Arabidopsis thaliana: one gene and its partner. The protein of the gene in region 1 interacts with the protein of each later gene in a pairwise test. Each region holds a gene or a part of one and is shown on either strand. Other genes may lie near its edges.

Region 1 (5,763 bases):
TTGGTTAACCCACATATATGGCCTGTCCGATTCACAGATATAGATACAGCTGAGCTCATCTGAGACTCCTCTTCTGCTGTTGCATCAACTATGTAATGCGTTCCCACCTGCAAAAACCAAGGACAGCATGGTAAAAGATTAGCGAAATGTACATAAGAAGATGTCGATGTGAATCAAGAAAAGTGAGATTCGATTACTTTTGTTAACGTGACTATGACCGGGACACTGGAAGTGTCAAATTGAAGATATTCCTCGTCGCTGATGTCAATCTCTGGTTGCTCATCATCTGCTACTTCAGCTGAAACATTGACTTTTGGGATGGCCGTGTTGGTTAAAGCAGCCTGCAGGAGTATAGTCAACAAGTGCATTAAAGCATGTGATCAGCCTTGAGGAAAGATGACTTTTGGGTTGCTTAAACTATCAATTGGAAACATATCGTAAAGCTACTAAAACCAATAACAAGACAACTACATTGAGCTAATCTATATACACTTAACTAAAGACCCATTCCCTTTCGTTTCCTATATTCTCTGGCCTTTCCTTTCTCATGATTCTGATTGATGGGTATGATTTACTCACTAACATTCGTAACTAAAACCTGAGACTAAGGGTTAAGAGAGAAAACCAAACACACATCACAAGAATTACCTTAATGGCAGCACCCAGGGCATCCAATAGATTCCCATCCGAACTAATGACAAGACCATCAATATAAAGGTCCCAGCAAACTTTTCCTTCTTTGATTAAAAGCGAAGATAAATTTATTCCAGCTCCTGGTACCAAAACATGAATTGCTATAAACGTTACAAACAGAAAGCGTAACAGTGTGCAGGTAAAAAAAAGCATTGCATAAACATGATTGCAGACCTGCTCCACTTTTGCCACCCAGAAGACATCTTTGAAGAGCCAAAGCAAGCTCAGAAGACAATTCCTCACCTCCTCTCCCCTAAGTAACAACATATCACAAAGAATTAGCCGCCTAAAGACTTAACACAGTAGAATTTAGGAGATTCTGAAGAAAAGTAATGATAACCAAAATCTCATGTTGAACAATTCCACTAGTAAGAGAAACACCAATAGAACGATAGAACGGGTGTGACAAGTGCTAGATAGAACCAAAACCAAACGAAATAAAAGAAAAGCTCACCCCAAATGTCGGTTCAGCTGTTGGACTGCAATCAATGAAAACTGCAACCTTTCCTTTATCGGGTTGAAGTGAACTTGGCCTCCCAATTTCAGCCTGCAATTACACAAGATTACTGGGTAACATCTACAATAGCACTTCCCATTCAACAATAGAACAGTAGCAGAGAGAACAAAGGAAGTACCTTTACACTAGCAATCACATCGGTTCCACCAATTCTAACTCTCGCTGAACCATTAGCCTAGAGCCAACAAAAACAAGAGAAAGAACATATCTGTTAAACAACTGGGAAGCAACAATGAGAAGCGGACGAGCTCTAGGAGATTACACTACCTGCGGAATAACACCGGTTTCGACGTAGATAGGACGGTAAGTCAATCTTTTCCGACCATCAGTTCGAAGATCTTGAGCAATCCCACCTTTAATGAAATGTTGTTCCCCAAGAGAAAGCCCCATCACTAATACTACACAGAGAACGAATTAGATCAACTGCTGAGGAATTTCTACCGGAATGACAAACTTCAAGGTTCACGGATTGGTGCTAGGGTTTAAGAGACAGCTCAAACAAAGTACACATCTTTATACAGCACAATCAAAACCCACTAATCTTCTTTACCTTCCCGGAGAATTCAATAGAAGACACAACTCTGAAGTTTTCCGGTGACCCTAGCGGCAACTTTGGATTGGTTAGGTTAAGAGAGAGACGTGACCACTGACAACTGCCGTAGGGTTTAAAGATGGCGTGAACATAATTATTGACACTTGTTAAGGGTAATTTAGTCATTTACCGACTTACCATTTTTTCACTGCTTTTTAGCGTTTTCTCGCTCTTCTGGTTTTTTCTTCAATCTGCCGGGAAGAAGTGCGAGCTTGGTGCCGATGGGTCGTTCGAAACTAGCTTCTCGTCCTGCTGAGGAAGACCTGAATCCAGGGTTCGTTTAAAGTTTCGTTCTTTGTCCATCTTAGCTCGAAGTCTTCTAGGGTTTTCTCTGTTCAATTACTTACTTGTCTTTGCGAAAACATTTCAATATCTGGTAATCCACTTAGCTGTGTTTGATTATCTGAATCGGAGTTCTTTTGGTACTTGTGGGTGGCTCTTGATTTCATACTGCTGTCGTCTCTTGTCTTTATCCTAATTTTGATGATTTTGGCTGTTTCAGAAAATCAAAAAGGAAAAAGATATCATTGGGTCCTGAGAATGCTGCGGCATCAATTTCCACCGGTAGGTTTCCGTTTACTTGTGCAATTAGGTGTGATACTGATAGGACTAAAGTTTCTGCTGTGGATAGATATGCATTGATGTATCATGTACCAAGCTGCGTTTTCCAAAAGTTCTTACATGTACCAATACATTGTAGGAATTGAAGCTGGGAATGAGAGGAAACCTGGCCTTTACTGTTGTAACTATTGCGATAAAGATCTGTCTGGTTTGGTTCGTTTCAAATGTGCTGTTTGTATGGACTTTGATCTTTGTGTGGAATGCTTTTCTGTCGGCGTTGAACTTAATCGTCACAAGAACAGTCACCCATATCGTGTTATGGTTAGTTTCCAACGCCGAGCAGTATATTTGAATTCAATTCAACGCTTTGTCAGCTGAAAAGTAATTAGATTAGTGATTGTGTTTAAAACAAAGAAAATGTTCTATGGTTGTATTTTTGTTTGTATTGAATCTACCCTTTTGTTTGACAGGACAATTTGTCTTTTTCGCTTGTTACTTCTGATTGGAATGCCGATGAAGAGATACTCCTTCTTGAGGTAATCATTAATCGTTTCTGATTGTACACTCCCATGTCTATATAGAGATTCCATCTGACTATTGGGAAGTAAATTGACTGTGTTAGGCCATTGCGACATACGGGTTTGGCAATTGGAAAGAAGTTGCAGACCATGTTGGTAGTAAGACAACGACAGAATGTATTAAACACTTCAATTCTGCTTACATGCAGTCACCATGCTTTCCACTTCCGGTAAGGACTGATGAAAACACATGATCGTCAGATAGTTGAACCTAGCTTGTTTATTTACTCTAGCTCCCCGCTCTGTAGGACTTGTCCCATACTATTGGAAAGAGCAAAGATGAGCTGCTTGCTATGAGTAAAGATAGTGCAGTCAAAACAGGTCAGCTTTAAAATCTATTAGCGGGGTTTCTTGTTGATTTGGGACTCGTATATTAACCTTGACTGAAAAAAGGAGGATGCTGAGCTCTGTTTACTATTTGTCACAGAAATACCTGCATTTGTGAGGCTATCTCCAAAAGAAGAGTTACCTGTGTCAGCTGAAATCAAGTATATACTTATGCTTGTAACAATAGTTTACCTACGTTTACAATGTTGAATGCACCTTTTTAAAAGTACTATTATGTTTCCATGGGCAGACACGAAGCTTCAGGGAAGGTCAATGAAATAGATCCACCTTTGTCTGCCTTAGCTGGAGGTATGTGAAAATGCTTTTATCTATATAAAATTGTAGACATTATTTGCACTTAGATTTATGGCTAAGGACGCAAATCATCCGCATTTCGTACTACGACCCCAAATATTATCTCTTCCATGATTCCATATGTAAAGTAATACTTTTTATTGTACAGTCAAGAAGAAAGGCAATGTACCGCAGGCTAAGGACATCATCAAGTTGGAAGGTTTGTTATATACTGGAACAAGTTTTTATGCAAAGTGATATTTACGCGAACAAAAACTAAAGGTAGTTAACGGCCCTTGTGTCTTAGCTGCAAAACAACAATCTGACAGGAGTGTCGGGGAGAAGAAACTCAGACTTCCTGGAGAGAAAGTTCCATTAGTAACAGAGTTATATGGTTACAATCTAAAGAGGGAAGAATTTGAGATCGAACATGACAACGATGCTGAGCAACTGCTTGCTGACATGGAATTTAAGGATTCTGACACAGATGCTGAGCGTGAGCAGAAACTGCAGGTTCTTCGTATTTACTCGAAAAGGTACACTTATCACAGGAACAACCATTTTTAAACCGGAGAATTTTTTCATAAGCCAATGCTACAAGCCAAGATTGTGCCTTTGTTGGCAGGCTTGATGAGAGGAAGCGGAGGAAGGAATTTGTTCTGGAAAGAAACTTGTTGTACCCTGATCAATATGAGATGAGCCTTTCAGCAGAGGAGAGAAAAATATATAAAAGCTGTAAAGTGTTTGCGCGGTTCCAATCCAAAGAAGAGCACAAGGAACTGATTAAGAAAGTCATTGAAGAGCACCAAATTCTCAGAAGAATCGAGGATCTTCAGGTTTGATGCTTAAAATTTTACCAAGCTTGAGTACTGGATTACAAACTCAATTAGGTGGGAACATTAAGTTGAGCTTTTAATAAATGTTGCAGGAAGCTAGAACTGCTGGTTGCAGGACAACTTCAGACGCAAATAGATTTATAGAAGAGAAGAGAAAGAAGGAAGCTGAAGAAAGTATGCTGCTGCGGCTTAACCACGGTGCACCAGGCAGTATAGCCGGTAAAACACTAAAAAGTCCAAGAGGGTTACCCAGAAATTTGCATCCCTTTGGTTCTGACTCACTGCCAAAGGTCACACCTCCAAGAATATACAGCGGTTTGGACACTTGGGATGTTGATGGTCTCCTTGGAGCTGACTTACTCTCAGAGACCGTAAGAACAATAATTTTCAAACTTGATGTTTGTCATCTTATTTGTGATTTTGTTGATTTGTTGACATTATTCCTATGGTTTGAGAGATTGAAGCTGTTTTTTGTGCAGGAAAAGAAGATGTGCAATGAGACCAGAATACTGCCTGTACACTATTTGAAGATGTTGGATATCTTAACAAGAGAAATAAAGAAGGGGCAGATAAAGAAAAAGTCTGATGCTTATAGCTTCTTCAAAGTAGAGCCGAGTAAAGTAGACAGAGTATATGATATGCTGGTTCATAAGGGAATAGGTGACTCAACATGACTCATAGCTTCATGGTCCTAACATGTACTTCTCGAACATATATTAGCCATGTAAATATAAAGGAAGGTGATGCTGATTTTGGTTACACATCTTGTTCTCTGTTAGTTTCGACAACTTGACAATGTCTGATTGTTATGACCTTCAAAGGCTGTTTCAGATTTTTTGATACAACGTTTAAACTGAATATTGTAATGCCTTCACTCATCTGATTCCTTCAATTTTTGTTATATGAGATCAGAAAGTCTTGAGACATTGCATCAGTTTTCAGGAAAAACCTAAATAAAACCAGATTCTTTGGTTACAAGAAACTACACTGGATCAGATTGCCATCCAACAACAAAGAAAAAAAAAAAAACAGACAGAAATCCAAAAACTTAATCTACATGAAGCCAAAAGCTTTACCATTTCTAAGGTTGCCAACTTTGAGTCTTCTCCCAAGGCTTGAAAACACCATCATGAGAAACATATTTCAAGTAAAAGAAAAAGCCACGCAGCAACTTCAAAGCTCTTGCCTTATCAACACCAACCACAAGCTTGTATTCTTTTTCGAAATCAGGGAAACTTTCTAGATAAGATTGTCCCAGTTCGTCAGTCTCATAATCAGATCCTCTTCCCTTTCGTAGTTCTCTGCATCGAGTCATTTTTTTATGGATTGATACGTAACGATGGAGCTGCTTCATCTCTCCTTCAT
Region 2 (3,871 bases), on another chromosome or scaffold:
TTTTGGAATTTAAATCTTAAATTTGTTTGACATTAAAAAAGCGTTTAACTCCATTGTTTAAATTCAATACGGATGGTCCTTCTAAGAGGAAACCTTGCATGATCCTGCAAAAGGACTATACTTTAATTATAATAAATATGATATTTTATATGTTAATATACCTAATAAATTGTTTTATCTGACATAAATTTTTACATTGTAAAAAAATCATTTACGTTTTGATTAGGTATGCTAAGTGTTCGATTCTGAAATTTCACCCCGTTTAGTGTCTAACGATTTTTCGATCGTTAGATATTATATATCAAAATCGACTGAAAAGATTGTTAAAATTCATAAATACTTAAGCACTGTCTACAATTATTTACAATTTTTGGGGCTACATCATTACAATGCAATAATGTCAAAGAATCATAATAAAATTATTTCTGTCGAAATAATTAGATGCAAGGATCTCTTGGATAAAAACGTGCATGCGGAAATCCTTAAGAAAGTTTAGACTTGGCAGCTTTACAATCTCGAATCAACTTAAATTTATCGAACCTGATATGCGTATGCATATATAAACACACATGCTAGACAAAAAAAAGTATTTGAATTTTATAGTTGACAAAAAATATATTCGAATTATATGTATAGATAATGAGTTTGTAGTGACAAGCATGATGATGCATTGAGATCACGATAAGGGATAATTGAACAGTAAATTTGCGATGAAAACATTAAAATAACTAAAAACAGTTGACACACCATTTTCTCCGCGAAGAAGAAAATTCATAAAATCTAATAAAAAGTCACGATCATGTATTAAAATAAAAGATTATTATGTCGGCTCTACACCAAAATAATTTATCTCGTTATATCGATGTTTTCTTGATTCTTGAATTCTAAAGGGGACTTTTATTTATTTATAAATTGAGAACTTTAATGAAATTTGCTTTTAGGAAACACGAGAGATGATTAGTTGCAAATAAGATCCTCATCTTCTACATAATTACATTAGCTCTAACCTTATTTTTCCTTTGTTTCAAAAATCATAATAACCTCTTAAAATAAATAATACAATTTTAGCTAAGTATTATAGCAGAATAATAATCTCTATGACACATGATAAACACTTTAAGTACTATACACGATTAACAACCATAAAACGCTGAATATATGGTTTGATAATTTAGTGATGTGTATTTTTACCTTTTTATCTTTTTAACAAAATAATAACACATATATGATTAATGAATAATGTATTGAATTTGTTTCTGCTATATTTTACTATTAATAACATCATAACGTTTTCATGTTTGTTTGACAAAAAAGTTTTCATGCTTTCAAAATTTGATGATGTTATATGCTATAACTGTATTAGAAATATAATTAGATAAAAACGAAACATTATTAATATATAAAAACAAATCTTATATTGTTTAGCTCGACATTTAGATTATTGTTTTCTGAAGTTATTTTTGTAAACTTTTTATCTTCAAATTGAATAACTAATCATAAAATTAGTTATTAATTAATGTATGGCTGATAAAAAAAGAAAACAAGTCTTATACTAGCTTTTTATAATAACTTGTGGATACTCTATTATAAAGAGTTTTTACTTCTTGATAATTGAGTTGTTACATACTCCTATTATTCATACGACATACAAGTCGTATTTATAGGGTTAGGATAAGTTACCAAAATGTGGAATCACTTGCAATAAATGTGAAAACTTGTGGACTGTTGTCACAACTATTTATTATATTTAGATCTCACACAAAATTTGTTCTGTCAAGTGAATGTATCCAACATGAAATTGGCAAAAGCCAGCTATAAACAAAACCCAAAAAAAAAAACCACCTCTCTCAATAGTAAACAAAAAATAGGATAATAGGGTCATCTAAACACAAGCAAATATGGACTTATGCTGTTGTCATGATAGATAAAAATATGTACGGGTCTTTTAAGAGCATCAAATCAATTTAGCCCGTGGGTCCTTTTTTCTTTTACTTACTTAAAGACTTAGTGCAATATTTGTCCCATATCTCCCTTTACCCCTACCACACCCCACCTCCACCCTCAAACAATTGTTGCATATAAATAAGGAAGTGATTGATAAATGTAGAGACAAATACCCATCAAACTCTGTCTCTCACTTTCCTTCATTATTTACTCATTGCCCAAAATAATTCATTTATCATATCCTCAAACTTTTTTTTTTCTATACCTCGAAATCCAAAAAAATAAATACATTGGTTTAGTGTGGCATTGATGTTTTTGGTATAAAGCTCTTCACCAATGATAGCTTCAGAGAGTACCAAGAGCTGGGAAGCTAGCGCAGTCAGACAAGAGAATGAAGAAGAGAAGAAGAAACCGGTTAAAGATTCCGGTAAGCATCCGGTTTATCGGGGTGTCCGAAAGAGGAACTGGGGAAAATGGGTGTCCGAGATACGTGAACCTAGGAAAAAATCCCGAATATGGCTAGGAACGTTTCCTTCCCCGGAGATGGCGGCGCGTGCACACGACGTAGCCGCTCTTAGCATCAAAGGAGCCTCCGCTATACTCAATTTCCCTGACCTAGCCGGCTCTTTCCCACGCCCTAGCTCGCTTAGCCCTCGAGACATCCAGGTCGCGGCTCTCAAAGCCGCACACATGGAGACCTCACAGTCTTTTTCTTCTTCTTCTTCTTTAACGTTTTCATCTTCACAGTCTTCTTCTTCGCTAGAGTCTCTCGTGTCTTCCTCCGCGACCGGCTCCGAGGAGCTAGGGGAGATTGTAGAGCTCCCAAGTTTGGGATCGAGCTATGATGGTTTGACTCAGCTAGGTAACGAGTTTATATTCTCTGACTCCGCAGACTTATGGCCTTATCCACCGCAATGGTCAGAAGGTGATTACCAAATGATTCCTGCCTCGTTATCACAAGATTGGGATCTTCAAGGACTGTATAATTATTAAGTCATAATCATAAAAATATACTAGTAATGCTGTGTTTAATAATTACTTTTTAATGACCCCTTTATTTTGTATAGGGCGGCTTTAGGTTTATTTGTCTTTGAATCTTCTTTTCTCAATTTGTGGGTGTGAGAGAGCTCGATATATGAATACTTGTACATACTTCTCATAACATGTGTTTTTTTTTTCTTAATAAATGTGGAAACTTTGGAAATGAATAAATTGGACTAGTAGCCAATGGAAGCCACGTACCTTTCTATTTTGAATGTAGGTTAATGTTAATTTAAACGTAATACTGTTGTTTTTAATAACATTGATATAAAAACTATGTAGGTTGTTGATTTAAAATTATTGAAGATTCCTTTTCAGTTTCTTGTTTTCCCCCTTAGAGTTAGAGGTTAAAACTTTCTTCTGATTAAGCATAAATTAATCTTGACCAATTGTTTGTTTTTGCCTTTTCCTGTTTCCACTACCAGTTATTGAATTTTAATATTAGTTGATATATATTAAAATATCCAAACACTTGAATTATTTTGCATTCGAGTCTTGTTGTATTCTAATCAAACAATGACTTTTACTCATTGCATTTCCTTTTGCGACCCAATAGTAGTACAAAAGAATCTCCTCTTCGGTCTCTGGAGCACTAAGTTCAATATTGTGTAATATTGTAATACAAGTGTAGTTAGTTTGATACTATGTGTAAATAAATTAATAACTGTAATGAATGGTTCAAAATGGATCCCACTTTGTTTTTTTTTTGGTCACGATCTTACGTATCTTTTCTTTTTCGTCGTTGAAAAAAGGCTAAAAACTTTAATGATTAACTGTAATTAGAATTCCTCACTATCCATTAATCTTATTAAATAAAAACAGAATCTATTGAAATGACTTCTATATAATCAAAGATTAACATATAATAATAATAAATTAACGTAAA

The links. The genes of interacting proteins can lie anywhere in the genome.
Region 2: the proteins of ADA2A (region 1) and tny interact in a two-hybrid assay, tested with the Arabidopsis thaliana proteins (one study listed by BioGRID).

The regions. Positions count from the first base shown.
Region 1 is NC_003074.8:2,469,323-2,475,085, reverse strand, and holds ADA2A (ADA2 2A), read left to right. Parts: upstream 1-1,990; 5' UTR 1,991-2,023; coding exon 2,024-2,076; exon of another isoform or gene 2,077-2,178; intron 2,179-2,304; coding exon 2,305-2,366; intron 2,367-2,449; exon of another isoform or gene 2,450-2,450; coding exon of another isoform or gene 2,451-2,502; coding exon 2,503-2,705; intron 2,706-2,833; coding exon 2,834-2,899; intron 2,900-2,985; coding exon 2,986-3,111; intron 3,112-3,189; coding exon 3,190-3,262; intron 3,263-3,368; coding exon 3,369-3,429; intron 3,430-3,518; coding exon 3,519-3,577; intron 3,578-3,731; coding exon 3,732-3,782; intron 3,783-3,869; coding exon 3,870-4,098; intron 4,099-4,187; coding exon 4,188-4,398; intron 4,399-4,490; coding exon 4,491-4,769; intron 4,770-4,877; coding exon 4,878-5,072; 3' UTR 5,073-5,255; downstream 5,256-5,763. Other genes in the region: AT3G07750 (3'-5'-exoribonuclease family protein), read right to left, coding at 1-107, 198-341, 649-773, 868-946, 1,148-1,240, 1,329-1,385, 1,478-1,600; AT3G07730 (uncharacterized protein), read right to left, coding at 5,480-5,763. UniProt on the Arabidopsis thaliana protein: Required for the function of some acidic activation domains, which activate transcription from a distant site. The exact mechanism of action is not yet known.
Region 2 is NC_003076.8:8,986,042-8,989,912, reverse strand, and holds tny (Integrase-type DNA-binding superfamily protein), read left to right. Parts: upstream 1-2,014; 5' UTR 2,015-2,280; coding exon 2,281-2,937; 3' UTR 2,938-3,371; downstream 3,372-3,871. UniProt on the Arabidopsis thaliana protein: Putative transcriptional activator.